3 linked regions of the Xenopus tropicalis genome follow. The protein of the gene in region 2 interacts with the protein of the main gene of each other region in a biochemical or structural test. Links are inferred from orthologs where the notes say so. Each region holds a gene or a part of one and is shown on either strand. Other genes may lie near its edges.

Region 1 (5,370 bases), about 96 Mb from region 2:
ATATTCTAATTTTAGTTTTTAGATTAACCCATTTATACACAATTAGATTCAAGGAAATTCATGATTAGTTTGCCTATTTTCTATTCATTCCTATGGGATTTTTAGAAGTGTATTTATAAATGGGTGAATGTTGGAGTTCACCATTTGATAAATATGCTTCTAATCCCAGGGAAGAAAAGACAGTGGGTGGATTTTTCTGTGATACTTTAATCACTTTTCATAAATGTACCCCTAAGTGTACTTGAATTTCTAAAGAAAAAATAAAATACATTTTCACTGAGGGGGGCCTTAATGCCCCAGGTTATTAAAGTTCTTGTCCATAAAGCTCACAATCCAATTCCAAAAAGAGTTCTAGAAGACTTTTTTTAAGCTCAATGAATAGAAGTGTCTTTCTGCCCAGACTTGACCTGATTTACAGCTGCTCCAGCAAAGCCTGACAAAGCTGGCATTATAAAACTTGGCAACATGCCTACAGTTTGGGCCATGTTCCATTACTTAAAGGCTGCTCCTTTATAACTTGCTCGGTGAGGAAAAAGGAAAACCTAACTAGAGTCTCCGCTTTCCAAGAACTGGTAAATGCAATGTAACTCTCCCAAATAGGCCACGTTTAAAAAAGAATAAAGCTTAATTCACACGTATTTCATAATAGTTTCAACAATAATAAATGGTTCCCCTCATTTCTAACATGAGACATGCTGTGCTGGATGCAGCAGGCTATAAATTGAACTTATCATTGGGATATCTTCTAAGTACAGCCATCCAATTAACTGTTTAATGCCAAACACATGGGATGTAATTAACGTATTCACTGATAAGCTTGCAGAGCTCTGTCTTGCTCTTCTGAGAGTAAGAATCTGAGGTAATGGTACTGATGGCAACAGAGGCATGTAAACAGCCAGAGTCAGCACTATGTTCACACAGATCTTGTATAAATTGGACAAAGGGCAATTTAACCATTTATTTGCAGCATGAAACGCACAACTCAAACACACAAATTAATCTGGAAAATATTTAAAAATGCAAATACAACAAACAGAATGAAATGCTGTTTATAAACGAATCCCTTACTGTTTCTTTAAAACCTTTTTAACTTAGCTTCAGGAATTGTATCACAGTTTTAGAATATAAATCATATTCAAGTTTCAGTCTCTGTTATACTGCTACAGGTACAACATGCTCCTTGATATTAGGTGTATCTATAGCAAAAGTATGGACATACTATATACAGAAAGCGGAGCATATCCACTTATAGTTAAATTGAATAAATTCTGTATATTCCCACCTGTTATTGGCAACAGGAAGAGCAATCTCAAACTTTGCCAGGAACTGAAAATATTGCTCTTCAGTCTGTTTGGTGAATCCAGTTCCAACCAGCAGCATTCTGAGATCTTCTGCCTTAATCACCCCATTCCGGGCCACAGACTTGGAGCTCTTAATGTTAATAATCCTCTCCAAACATTCTGACAACCAAACAGGGTCCAAGAAGTAAAGGTTTCTTAGGCCATGGCTAGTGTCAGGAAAGTGAAGCAAAGTCCCAGTTTCTATCAAGAAACCGATCGCTGCAGGATACAGAGAAGAAAAGGAAATTAATGATATTGCCCCTCCCACAGGCAGGGCTGCCTTTAGTGGTAGTGAGAATCACAGCAAAACAGTGAGGCCCCATTCTTTTTTTTTTTTTTTTTAGCGTCTGTCGTAAACAGCTCTGCCTAAAGCCACTAAAAGAATGAAAGCTGTATAGTAGCTAAGGGCAGGAAAAACCACATATATCAGAAACCTTTGCCCCAAATTATCCTAATATATAGCTGATATATAGGAAAAGAAATACCCCACATATGAAGATGCTAGGTACTAGGTGGATGCCATCCCGTGCCTTTGCCCAAAAGCAATAATAATTAATAACCTGCATTGTAGAATGTAAATAATGCAATATAAATACACAAGCTAGCACAGATAATGCCCTAATTAAAAATGTTCCAATGCACATACTGATTCTCACTCATTCAATTTGGGTCACATACCTGCCTGCATGTCTTCATAATCGCGTATATCGTTTCCAGGGCTCTGTTCAATAATCTGTTCTATCTGCTCATCAGTCAGGTATTGTACCTCATCCCCTTGAGCTCGTCTCTGCTGCTCAGCTACCACAGCCTCCTGAAGGTTCAGGTAGCTTCTCGGGATCTATTTGCATAACCAGAAAAGACAGAGATTTTGGATAGAGGATATGACCCCATCACCAAAAGGTAATTATATAAATTTTGCGGCCACTGCAAAGAACTGATTCTGGTGTTAAGACTGGCCATGCTTGAGAGATATCCCATGGAGTATTTTGAGCCAATAATATTTTTTTGACTCAATTAATCTGAAATATTGTTTGTAGAGCATAAAACGTACCAGCCTTCCCACTAGTTTTTGGGATCCAATGGTACTGCCTACATCCCTCATATTGCAGGCAGCATGGAATATCAGCTGGCGCAGACCATCGAGTCCCTCCAATGTTTTGCAAGAGAGTTCACTGAATAGTGAAAGCCAGAGGAAAGAAAATTACATAAAAATTGTAACATAACATTAAACACCCTTAAGTTAAAATGTGCTCACTGTAAGTGCTTGAAAGTGATATCAGGGAACCCAGTTGCTCTGGAGCCAGATGGGGAGCGACACAATGCCAGAACATAAGCTCGAAGAGTGGCAATTCTCTCCAACCGGAATTTGGTTTCTATGAAGTCAAGGTGCGTCCCTACAACCAGAACAACGGCATTGGGAGCTTTTGCCTGGAAAACAGATATCAGCTTTATCAAACAATCTGGCTACGTCAAAAAATCCAGTAACAGATAAAATAGATGAGGTGGCATTAGTAAGATTGGCTGCATGGTAACTTTTTACTTTTCTTTACAGCTCTATACCATTATCAGTATTAAGCTAACATTTTAGCACCCCCCAGAGATTGTAATTGCTTACCTTATCCCTTGGCTGGTGCTCCTGTTAGCAAAAAACCGCAATAGCCCGGGGTAGCAACAAGACATTGATCCTCTTCTTCTCCTGTCTTTGCGTCACTTGTGTATGCGCAGTAGAGTGAAAAGCAGAACTTTAACAAAAAAGTCAGCATTTTAATCCTACTGCACATGCGCCAGGAAGCGGAAGAATGAAGACGGACAGAAGAAGATCGCTGTCTCACAGCTACCCTGGGCTGGAGCACCAGCGCGGGGTAAGCAATTACAATCACTGGGGGCTGTTTTTCCTTCTCCTTTAAGCTTTAACACTCTAACCCAGAGACAAGATCTGATCTCATTATAGAATTGGAAATTCCACTTTCCTCCTAAATATCATGCCTACAAAATTGCAGCTGTGTGTCAACACTTTAATAGGCCCGAATGAGTTGCCTAGACATGGGCAATATGGTATAAATAAATTAATAATCTTTTATGTAGTCAAATATACAATACAAGTATAGGATTTATTATCTGTAAACTCATTGTTCAGAAACTTCTAAAATACAGGAATGTTTAAGCAAACAATTTTTCTTTGACAGGTTTCCTTTTTCTCTGTTATAATTACTTGATGATAAATATTGGAACATTAATCCACGGTGGTGGCAAAATAATACTATTTTTTTTTAAATGTTTTCAGTAGGATTAAGGAGTGTTTTCCTAATTAAGAAAAGGCCCCTTATCCGGAAAACTGTAGATCCCAAGAATTACACATAACAGATACCTTGCCAGTATTGATCTTCTTTGACACATGCAGATAGTTACCTCTTACCTCTATGTTCAGTAGCCAGAACTGAAGATTGGCAACAGCCTCCTCGCCAAGAGCAAGGTTCCAGACTACCACATACAAGGCTTTGTCAGTGAAGAAGCACTGGTTCACAGCGGACATTGCATTCGAACCTCCAACGTCCCACACATGGAACTGCACAGAATCAACCTACTTAAGCAAAAGGGAGAGACACGAAGGGCTCTGTGTGAAGGCAGGTTACTCAGTACAGACCTTTGTAATAATAGAATGAAACACAGTAAGAGTGGTTAATTGACTAATTCCATAACATAGTCAAAGCCAATCCAACCTTCCTTTTAAATCTTCCTATTGTTTCCCCCCACACACACACCAAACTACTAAGAAGAGAGGCTTGTAAGGTGATTTGGCAATGCTTTAAAAATATGTTAGAAGGCATTACATATAAATTAAAGGGGTCCATATGTATAGCTGCAAGCCTTGTTATAATATCCATCTTGTGGTAGAAAATAAATTTGACATTTCTTTAATGCTAATCAGATACATACAGAAACATCATCAATATCTAAATCAACTGCAAAAAAATATTTGCCACAGGTTGAAAGTGTGGGTGCATTAAAAAATTTATATATATATATTGGTTCCTTTTTTCCTAAGTGGTGTACAGGCTATCTATAACCTTACTGGGACTAAAGGTGCCCATACACCTTAAGATCCGCTGGCTTGGTGATGTCGCCAAGTGACCGGATCTTCTCCCGATACCCCCCATCTACGAGTGGGCGATATCAGGAGAATCCAGGCTAATTCGATCATTTGGCCCTGGGGCCAAACGATCAAATTATAATGACGGGCACAGGCAAAGTCGGTCCGGGGACCGCATCAACAAGCTGATGCAGTCCCTGATTCGACTAGATTTTCTAACCTTGCCCGATCGAGATCTGGCCGATTTCAGGCCAGATATTCTAACCTGCTCAATCGAGATCTGGCCGATTTCAGGCCAGATATTGGTTGGGCAGGCCCATCGGTAGTCCCCATACACGGGCCGATCAGTCTAAGGGACCGATATCAGCAGCTAGAATCGGCCCGTGTATGGGGACCTTAAGTTAGGTAAATCCTTAATGGAGAAGGATCTTGGGGTAATTGCAGATAAAAAACATGTGTGCAGCAGGAAATGTCAGACAGCAGCAGCAGCAATGTTCGTCAAAATACTGTCCTGTACTTGAAGGGGTAATAAAGGTAAGGTAGGATCTATTTAAAATATGGAGTGCAGTTTGCGTTTCCATCATATAATTCATTAATAAAGGGATATTGTCATGATTTTTTATGGGGTACTTTTTAATTCTAAATTACACTGTTTACATAGCAAATAATTCACTCTACCATTTAAAATTATTCTTAATTTCTTAATTATTCTTAGTTTTAATATTGGTGTGTAGGCGCCATCTTAGTGCATTGTGCCCGAGTCTGATATTTAAAAAGATGCCAGCGCTGCACATTAGAACTGCTTTCAGTGAAATGCAGAATATGGCTAGCCCCATGTGAAATTTCAAAGTTAAATATAAAGAAATCTGTTTGTGTGCAGGATTCTGCTGGAGAATACCTATCAACTGATGCCTTTTGAAAAAAACACATTTTCCCATG
Region 2 (5,370 bases):
GGAGCAACGGCTTCCCATCAAGCTGTGAGCATGCAATTCCAATGAAATCATAACGACTATGCCTTCTGCTGGCTATAGGATTCAAGGTCTAGTTTAAATAGTACATTTAGATCTACCAACTTGGCAGTTAACTAATTCCCTACAAAAGGTCGACTTGAGCTCAGATGTGTCTTCCAAAACAAAAGCCATGCTTCCTGAGTTAGACATTGTTGGCAAGAGGAGTCTTCGGGTCTCTAAACTTTAATACAGCAATTTGCAAATTGCTTTTATTTTTTATGATTCACTTTCTAATCCAGTGATGACTTACTCCTGGCACTTAATCAGTTGTTCAATAAAATTGCTCTTAAAAATCCTTAGATTAAAGTGATATTAGACCTCTCCAATATTAAAATAAAAGGTCCAGAAGCATGGAGAGACAGGTTACTTATAAAGGGTATTAGTGTTAATATAATTCTACTAAATTATTGTTATGACCAGCAATGCTTTCCAACTGGAGGTCTTCATGCCAAAGACAGCTTTCCAAAGTTTTTTTGACTATTCAATTCCACATTTTTTCATATCTGAATAGCATTTTAGGTATATTATGCCTCTACCAGCATATTGTAAATAGTTGAGGAGTAGCTGTGGTTGAAATAAGACAAATGTCCATCAAATGTAGCCATTTGCACGTATGTAATTTAGATTGGCAGAGGAAAATTTTAAAAAAGTATGTTCAGCATAGAGGTGGTGCTAGATACCATATAAATAGACATTTACCATGTTTAAATATGTTTTTTCAAAACAGGGGTTATGAGTGTATGTTTTTAATTTGAATGATTTTTGACGAAGTGTGGAAGGAATGGGATGAAGAAGGCAGTAAGTAAGATCCAAGGAAAGCAACTTATGCTGTGATATAAACCCAGTCTACATAAAATATGAAATTATTTTATACTTTCTTCTATTTCACTCTTAGTGTGGGTGGGGAAAGTCAAGAATGGATACCTTAACATTAAAAGTATGTGTAGTCAAGTTCTTCATGTTTATGTTACATTTTAACAAATACAATTGTCTGCTTATTGATTTCTAGGGGACAAAGGCCCCTGCAGTGGTCTTGGCCAGGGGGTTTTACAGACACAGATACAAAGGACAAAGACTCCAAAGTGACTATAAATTTCAGTGATACACGCAGTGTGGCTGAGGAAGACTGTGAGGGGATTCCTAGCAAACCTTACTGCAAGGTGTTCAGGCTGACAGGAGCTAGGGCTAACGACACAGGCTCTTACTGGTGCCACTACAAATTTATCAACGTCAGGATCAAAGGGACCACAGCTGCCAGCGTCCATGTCTTTGTAAGAGGTAGGTGGACAAAAACAGTATATTTCAATAAAGTTCTGTTATGTGGAAGAGAAAGAAATGTGCCAGAGAAAAGATCTGATATTTTAATGTATGAAGACCCCCACTACTGTGAACTACAGCTATATTTTCTACTAGCTACTAAGAAGATGTGTTCTAGAATCTTTATTCTCATGAAAATAATTATTAAAATCCTTTTTTGAAAGATAACATTTATGGCTGGAAAAATATCAAAAGATGGGGGAAGTGGTTAATTTATGAACCAAGTTCTAAGTACTTTAAAATATAATTCAGTTTTATTACTCTGCTTGTTACACTGCTTATTCATCCATCACCCACTACTGTGTTGCACTCAGGTTCTATGGCTGAATGCCTTGCCTCAATAGTAAGGATCCTATTTTAAGATGCAAGATATCTATGCTGTAATCAGGGCCGCAGAAACTCTGGGGTTACAAACCACTATAGGATACTTACATGGCCTTTTAGGAGTCCCAAGCACAGGTCTGCACTTAAATGGATGTTTATCTTCAGGCAATAGTGCCCCTGTCAGATCACTGCTGCTAAAACACTCTCTGTTTTGCTCTCTCTGTAAGGGATTTCTTAGACTAAGACTAATAAATAATAAAGATGATTTATCATAATCAGTTTTTTCTGATGGGGCTGTTCAAATTCAGACTGTTGTTGTAAGGTGAACATCCCCTTTATAAGTAAAGTTTTAGCTTCATATAAGCTACCACTGTTGGGAAGGATAACTATGACCTTCCCTTTGCCCTACCCCAGCCTTCCTGCATTCAAAACAGTAGAGAGGACATGATCTGCTGAAATTGTGCTGTGGTCAGTTATAAAATGACCATTGATGGATCTCTATATAATGCTGCAGTAGTATTCCTTTAACTGTGCTCATATCCTATAATAAAAATATCATTAAACTATGTCAGCATTTCCCCATGATGAGCAAAGTTCTGCATGTGTAGCATATAGTATCTCTTTAAGAGGATTAAATGTTTGTTACAGATTTCAGTACGTTTTTAGTTGATCTTCATGTATGTTTTTGAACTTTCTGCATTCCTGTCTTGCTTGCAACTGGAAACACAAGTGGAGCTCATTTATAAACAATGGGCAAATTTACACCTAAGCAGTAACACATAGCAACCAATCGGTGATTGGATTTTTCATTCAGCTGCAGGTTAAACGCTGAAAGAAATCGCCTGATTGATTGTCGTGAGTTACAACCCAGGTGCAATTTAGCCCAGTCTAATCTATTGTGAAGCTACAATGTTATTGCTATTTTGATTGATTTTTACTAATGCTCCCCTCTTCTATTGATCTTTCATTTTGACAGCCAGGGCCAGAACCAGTGTCGGACTGAGATGGCAGGGGCCCAATAGAAAACCCTGGGCAAAGGGCCCACTCTCAAAACTTTAATTGCTCCTCTACTCCTTCAAACTCTTTATTCTCCGAGTCTCTTTTCTCTACATACTATCCTCTCTTCTTCCATCTATCAAGCTTCCTTGTTCGCATACAGAAATAGGGCTAAATAGATAGAAGCAAGAGGGCCCACTGACACTTGGGCCCACCGGGAGTTTTCCTGGTATCCTGGTAGGCCAGTCCAACACTGGCCAGAACTAGGGGTAGACAGAAGAGGAATGTACCTAGTGTGCAACTGTTGGTGGCGCTAGGCATGTACCGCTTTAACATACCCCTAGTTCAGACCCTTGTCCCTCCACACCCGCAGGTCCCCCTCATCTTACTGTATATGTGGATATAGTTTTTCATGTACTGCAGAAGAAGGACAACCAGAATTTTCTTAACTTTTAGGGAAAACCCAGCAAAAAGACAGAACAGTTTTGTTTATTAGCTAAGCCCATTTCTTTTATTAATACTATATAATTCTCTTGAGAATTTATTACATACTGTATTTTTCTAAAATGTCTGGAATTTTTTCTTGGTGGATAAGGAGGTCACGTAGAAAATGAGAAACTAGAGAGGTTCATGTGCGCTCAGTGCATCCAGTGGTTTCGTGTTCATGTGCTTTACATTATAAGAAATCCTTGGGCCACTGGTGTGCACATTAAAATAAACAATATCTGTACCGGTCGTTCAGGACATAATGTTAACTGAAACATAAACAATTTAAGATTGAAATTCTTCAAACTAGATTTAAATGGATTTTGCATCATTCAGGCCAAGAGTCCAGGCTCTTTTCATTATTATTATTACTACAGTTTGTATTGCTTAGATCAAGTTTTTCCAAATCGGCCCACAAGAACAATTTACCTGCCAGAGATTTGAGGGGTCATTTACAATTTGCTTTTTGCGATCAACATCACATGCTTTTTGCAGAGTCACCCTGCCCTGCACCTTTCCCATGAATACATTGTTACCTGCATTCTTCAGTGCTCTATTCATAAGGAGCAGGTGGGGGGAGGCCCCTGTCTGCTCCTTAACTTGCATTCAGATGCACAAGTTATGGACTATTTTTCTACCTACCTTCCCATGGCAGTGGAAGAATAGAGCTGTGTTTCATCTGCCTTCAGTGCTGATATGCCCCTTTTATGTGTGCTTTAAGAATGAGCACTAAGGGGCTTGTTTTTGTGCCCCTCAGTGCTCCTTCACCCACGGCAAGGGGAATATTTATCTAGGTTTTATCTAGTTTGATTTTTTTTTTTGACGATTTTGCACTTAAAAAACACGAATTCGAATTATGTTTCAAAAACTTGTCTGGTTTTTATTAAGTGCAAAAAACTCAAAAACTCAAATGTAAAAATTCTAAAAGCTTCAAAGTTTCTATTGACGTCAATGATATTCGGGTTTTTTTTACTGGAACAAGTTTTCCTCATTAATAAATGAGCGAGAATTTGATATGTGAGTTTATTTGATTTAAAAAAAAACAAACAAATTCAAATTCACAAATTCAACAAACTGATAAATAAGCCCTCTAGTATTGCAATTTTCCAAACCCACGCTGACTTCTTGCCCTGCTGTCTCTGATCTATTTAACCCTCCATGTGCAGTTAGTTGTCTGTTTTCACATCTGCCAGCAACAACTCTCTAAAACTGGAATGCTTTTTTGTGGGGATAGAAATAACTTTCTAAATTTTGGGGGGATAGTATAAACTTTCTAGCTTTTCCGACCTACATATTTTCATTGTGTCTTTAGACTGGGAGCAGCCATTTATAAACACTCTTGGGGCATTGCTGGTATATAAGGAGAAAACTAGAGTGCCATGCCTCGTGTCAATTCCAGACCTCAATGTTACTCTCCATATGGTAAGTCCTGCCTATAATGATATCTTTATTTATATTTAGCAGTTTAGGGCTGGAAGGTGTTTTAGTTCCATGCTGTTCCATACAACAAATATTTGAGTATTTATGCCATGATCTTAAGCCCAGTTATAAAACATTGGATTTTGGAGGATTATTGCAAACAAGTAAATATTATCACTCTAATCACGTATTTATAAAGCTCCAACATATACAATAGAATATATATATAGATATAAAAGACATATAAAGCACACCATTTACATGCAATACTGATTATTAAAGGTGGTAAAGAGAGCCCTGCTTACTAAACTGCATCCATTGGCACAGACTTTTTCATCTCAGCCATAACCTGACAATGGGGGCACCAGAGTGACCAAATGCTTGTTTGACATTGCCAGACAATAACTTTAGAAGTATTTGTCATATACTATATCACAGTACTCTTGTTTAATTCGCCAACATATTTAATACCCATTTAATAACTAATTTTTACTGTGTCTTTAATCACAGTTTATATAAAGTCTTCCTCTAGTTGAGTGTAAACACAAACATAATGGATGCTCTCTCAGTGGACACCATGATAAACTCTTGCAACTGCCCCCTTTAAGCTTGTATTACAGGTGTAAACACAACTGTGGGAAGCAACATGGCAGTTTGGTACAAAATAAGAATTAGGCATGCTCCTCATTGGTGCCTGATACCCAGCACTAAATTAATATTAATTTAGAAAAAAAAAAAATTAGTTATTAAATGGGTATTAAATATTTTGGC
Region 3 (5,370 bases), on a different chromosome or scaffold from region 2:
ATTGTACTCCTTGCTGGTTGGATAATATCTATACATTTGCTTGCTGAATTTCCTTATACACGTACAGACTTGAACTTGCTCAATTGCTAATTGTGAGTTTAGGATGCTCATTGTTCAGCGCTGGTATTGTAGTCGTTGGCCCCTCTGGCTTCACAATAAATAAACAGAACCAGATGTTTACAGCAGATAAGAACCTTGTGTTCCAGCAGCCTCCCCCCTTTCCTTATCTCATTAGAAATCTTCCCCACTATTTGACTGCTGACCTTTTTATGAGTATCACAATAGGCTGAAAAAGCACATTGGTAGCATTTTTTTAAATCCATTCCACAAATCATTAAAAAAATGTTGGTCTCCAGCTACATTAATAAAAGTGTAGCTAATCTGACAGCATGAGAGAAGCCAGATGTCGGATCTAAAGACGCTTCAAATAATGACAAATTGCTACAGACAATTCTATGTACTGCATTGGATTATTACAACATTTTCTTCTGGTTTTCAAGCAGGCTGGAGCACAAACTAGTATCTTTAGTGTCTAATTTCATTACAACTGTGATTCATATAAAACTGTAAGACACGGCCATATCCACAGAAACACACACAGCCATGCTGTTCTTGACTCAATGATATACCTCTTTTGTATAGAAATGTCTCATTATCACTTATCACCTAGCACCCTACCCATTTGGACTGTCCTTGTTCTCTGGCTGGAACAATAATGCTGGGTTTGGGGGCTGGCAGGAACCCCATAATAACTTTGTACTTCTTCCCAAGTCCAACATGATGGCTAAGGGTACTGGCACAAGAGGAGATTAGGCGCCCGCTAAAATCTGCACTACCGCAGTCTCCTGCAAGTGCTTACCAACTGGCCATAATGGAAATTGCTGGTGGTAAAACATATTTGGCTTTTTGTCCTCCCAAAGTTTTCCCGCAAGCCAATACCTTAATGCAGCTGGAGTGTCCAAGGAGGGCAGAGAGGAGGGTAACATAATAAGTTAGTGAAAAAGGACACGTTAATCAAGTTCAACTGCAATGCCTATATATCAAAAGGAAGACAAAAAACCCCACCAGTGGAAGTATAACCCTTCCTCCCGTGAATCTATACCCCTTTTAATACAGCTCAAAACCTTGTTTGCCCTTGCAGCTGCTGCCTGGCATTGCTTGCTACAGCCAAGTTTATTATCTACAAGGACTCCAAAGTCCTTCTCCATTATGGATTTACCTAGTGCAGTCCCATTAAGGGTATACGGGGCTTGCATATTTTTACATCCCAGGTGCATGACCTTACATTTATCCACATTAAATCTCATCTGCCACTTAGCTGCTCAGATTGCCAGTTGGTCAAGATCCTGCTGCAAGGATGTTGCATCCTGGATAGAATTAATTGGGCTGCAGAACTTTTTGTCATCACTGATACATTACTTATAATACCCTCCCCTACAGAAATATATCTCTGTAAACAAAATAAAAATGTCAGTATCACTTTTGTGGGAAATTATGTTCTCCCATGGACATGAAAGCACCCGAAACTACCTTGTCATTGGGAACCACAGGAATGATCATGGGTAAAACATATGAATATTTTTGTACAATCAGCAAAAATTGAGGGGTGCCCACCTGCCAAGTCCCCAGTGGAAGCAACTGCTCTGGACCAGAAGAAGCAAACCAGCAGGTTGGTGAGAGACATTTGCCCCATGACTTTCAATTACATCACCTCAATTTTCAAGCTTCAAAGGCACATAAAGAAAAATGTAAAAATACAATTTAACAAAAACTGATCATGTTTTTCTCATTCTTTAGCTCTTTGAAATCTCAGTTCCATTAACTCAAGCACCAGAGCCTGTAACTATCAAAATAGCCAATCACACAAGCTGCAAATGCACACCGAGTTCTCCGCGGCTCTCGAAGGCCATCATACGAAGATCTGTCCACTATCCAGAATACGGGTAACTCATCTCTGATCTATATTCTTTTCAACTATGTTCATTATAACTTTTTTGTACAAGCATAAACCAATAAAAAACTTCACAAAAACTTAATAACTGTAAAGGAGAAGTTAAGGTAAAAACTAAGTAAGACTCCTCTTTCAAAAGAAACACAGGAATTCTGGTCTCCTTTTTTCTCCTGCTCCCCCTCCCATAAGAATTCATAAAACTCACTCATCCCTCCCTTAGGAATGTGTAATCTTAGCTATAACAGCTAAACTGCAAGCAGGAAGCTATGAAGACCAAGCTATTATGGCAGCTGCAATCTTAAACAAACAGAGAAAGCTTCTAGGGCTGTTTACTCAGGTATGATAAAGCTTTCTGCAGAATAAATATAGTGTTATAGGTGGCACTAATGTGGCAGTAAAATGCCAAAATGACTTTCCATCTCCGCGTCTGCGGGATGGCAGACGCGGCGGGGCGATTTGCGCGAAATCGCGCCGCCGCATGTGCCATCCCGCCGGCGACTTACATGTTCACCGGTGGGATGGCAGGGGTAGGCAACTCGGGGAGATTAGTCGCCCGCGAACAGGGAGTTAATCGCGGGCGACTAATCTCCCCCGTGTGCCAGAGCCCTTAAAACAATGCACCTCCTGGCCCTGCCACTTGAGTTGTAGGTGGAGCACTTCCAATAGATCTCTTTATTTGGCAGAGGTGTTTTTAGATTGCGCACATTAGTGGTCACTTACTTCATCATTGTGTTATATTTATTGGATAATCCTTATTGAAGTCATGGGCACCCAGTCTGCAGCCCTCAAATGAACAACCTGAGGGGAAACAAGTCCCCTCCAGTGACCCTTCATGTAAGTTAATATAGAACATGGAACTGTGTGTTCCAGAAAGTTCTCCTATGATAGAAATGACGTGTGTGCTATTAGCCAAAGATATGCAAGCATTTGGTGGACTCAGCCTAACAGCAGACTTTCTAGTCCATGTCTCAGCACAGTTGCTGGCTAATGAAAAGAATAAGCTATTTTCACTCTGTGGGAGGACTTGGTTTAATAAAGTACATGCTCCTCTTCAGCTATAAAAGCAACACTCAGCATAAAGAGGCCAAGATTTGGAATTGTATGACAGGTCCCTCAGGTTCTTTGTCAAACAGGGAATATCCCCTCTCCTAAGCCAGGAGCCAAAACTAACTCTTTAAGTAATTTTTTAAGAATTTATATTTAATTTTGTGGATGCATCAACAGTCCTACAGATCTATACAGCTTTGGCTCTAGCTTTCCCTTGGCTATAATTAAGTAGATCCTCCTCCATGAACTAGACTCGGTGGGAGGACTTGGTTTTATAAAGTACATGCTCCTCAGCTATAAAAGCAACAAGCAGCATGATGAGGTCAAAAATTGGAATTGCATGAAAGGTCCCTCAGGTTCTTTGTCAGAGAAGGGCACAGTCCCACTCCAAAGTAAGAAGCCAAAACTAACTCCTCAAGAAATTTACAAAATAAAAAGCATTTACATTCAACTTTGTAAATGCATCAAGTCGTACAGACCTTTAAAACAGACCTAGAAAGTTTTGGTTCTAGCTTGGCTTTCCCATGGCTATAATTGAGTAGAACCTCCATGAACTAGGCTTTCATTCTCATATTATCCTTTCTCTGCAAAACCAGTTCTAACATTGATACAGTTCAGCATAAAGAGGAATTGATAGCAATATTCTCTAATGTGAAAAATAAATTCATAGTTTACCAAAAGAATGCATAGGAGACCTTTAGCACGATGGTCACTCAACTGATGAGTGCTCAAATCTCCCCGTCAAGGATCTGCAAAATAGAGCTAAACTCAGCAGGACCCCGTATGTCTAATATGATTTCTTGCACAATAAAAAAGAATGTGTTGTTTAAAAAAGACAAATATCGTCTGCATTCCTAAATACATATGTTTGTAGCATAAACCTCAGAGGGTCTTGCATTGCTGGGGTTTCTCAAGGTTAATATAAATTGATTCAGGATGGAGAAAATGAAAGAACATTCAGTAATCCCCTAAAATACCAAGTCTCTCTACTGTTTTTTCACGTTGCATGTCAGTCTAACACCTATAAGGGGTAACAATCAGCTCCTTAGTCTTTGTACATCAAGATTGAGTGATGACATATGAGAGTTTCTCCATCTGTTTTACATTTATCAAACCTCTTGAGCAATCAAAATTGTCCATGCATAGAACACTGGATGCTTTTCCCCAGAGGTGTTTAAATTGGACACCCAATGCTTATTAAATAAGATAAAAATAGAAAAAAACAAACTGTATCCAATACAACAACAGTAATAACAGGAAAAATGGTCACTTTTTGATATCATAAAGATCTGAGCAATGCCTTAATGTGGTCTGGCCACCTGCCTCCTTGCTCTTTAGCGAACAAGAACTGAAAGGTCATGAAAACAGTGATATTATTTTATCTCTATTTATTTTCTAATAGGAATTTGAGATAGAAATACAACTTTTTTTGGAACTAATAATCATAAAGGAAAGGGTGAAATAATTAAATAGCTGCAACTCTGAAACAAAACAAAAACGATCAAGGTTATCCAAAGGGGGGCTGAGGGAAGTGCCAGGACCTAGGTCAAGATCTCCGGAGGAGTCTTTCCATCTTACTTTTCCAAACTGTACTTTATTCATACAAATCAAAATCCTGTGCTCTAACAATAATATTTTTGCATTTAATCAGAGTATGCAGTACCACTGATACTTTTACAGTGATCTGAACAATATAGCTTTCTGACTAATGAAATTAATGATATAGAGGCCCAACGGCACGCCTGTCTACTAAGTAAAGTGGCAGCATTTAGAAATGATGTTCTATAGCAGTAATCCCCAACCAGTGGCTCGTGAGTAACATGTTGCTCACCAACTGCATTGATGTTGCTCCCAGTGGCCTCAAACTTGGTGCCCATTCTTACATTTCTGGCATAGAGGCAAGTTTTGGAGGTATGACCATGTGCACTGCCAAACAGAGCCTACTATAGTCTGCCTGTCCACATGGGGCTACCAAATAACCAATCACAGCCCTTATTTGTCACTCCCTAGGAACTTTTTTCATGCTTGCCTTGCTCCCCAACAGGACAGGAATGCTGCCAGGGGCCGAGAAGTGAGTTTGTGATTGTAAGCCCACAGGGGAGAAAGAGCCATTGGAATATAAGATCAATATAAAAAACACAAAACTATATTGAAAAATGGCTTATTTGAAATGTGTGGATATCGTAGGTGCTGCAGGAGTGAACCATTTGCGGTCCACAGGAGTTTAGATTCTTACCTGGAGCTCAGAAATGTTAAAGGGGTGACACATAATTTAGATAGCTCCCTATTTTTGCACTAGTCATTTAGTCAGTTGCTTTGCCATGCTGACAGACACATGGCTGAATACAGAGGACCTCTTGTTGCAAAAGGCT

Evidence for each region.
Region 1: the proteins of flt4 (region 2) and lrrk1 form a complex in vitro, tested with the Homo sapiens proteins (2 studies listed by BioGRID and IntAct, with this or other methods). The link is inferred for Xenopus tropicalis from reciprocal best matches to the Homo sapiens genes FLT4 and LRRK1.
Region 3: the proteins of flt4 (region 2) and vegfd form a complex in vitro, tested with the Homo sapiens proteins (2 studies listed by BioGRID). The link is inferred for Xenopus tropicalis from reciprocal best matches to the Homo sapiens genes FLT4 and VEGFD.

Annotation. Positions count from the first base shown.
Region 1 is NC_030679.2:115,738,748-115,744,117, reverse strand, and holds part of lrrk1 (leucine-rich repeat serine/threonine-protein kinase 1), read right to left. Parts: intron 3,922-5,370; coding exon 3,757-3,921; intron 2,769-3,756; coding exon 2,596-2,768; intron 2,513-2,595; coding exon 2,392-2,512; intron 2,179-2,391; coding exon 2,019-2,178; intron 1,560-2,018; coding exon 1,283-1,559; intron 1-1,282.
Region 2 is NC_030679.2:20,221,926-20,227,295, forward strand, and holds part of flt4 (vascular endothelial growth factor receptor 3), read left to right. Parts: intron 1-1,066; coding exon 1,067-1,335; intron 1,336-4,492; coding exon 4,493-4,602; intron 4,603-5,370. UniProt on the Homo sapiens protein: Tyrosine-protein kinase that acts as a cell-surface receptor for VEGFC and VEGFD, and plays an essential role in adult lymphangiogenesis and in the development of the vascular network and the cardiovascular system during embryonic development.
Region 3 is NC_030678.2:29,691,894-29,697,263, reverse strand, and holds part of vegfd (vascular endothelial growth factor D), read left to right. Parts: intron 1-1,797; coding exon 1,798-1,943; intron 1,944-5,370. UniProt on the Homo sapiens protein: Growth factor active in angiogenesis, lymphangiogenesis and endothelial cell growth, stimulating their proliferation and migration and also has effects on the permeability of blood vessels.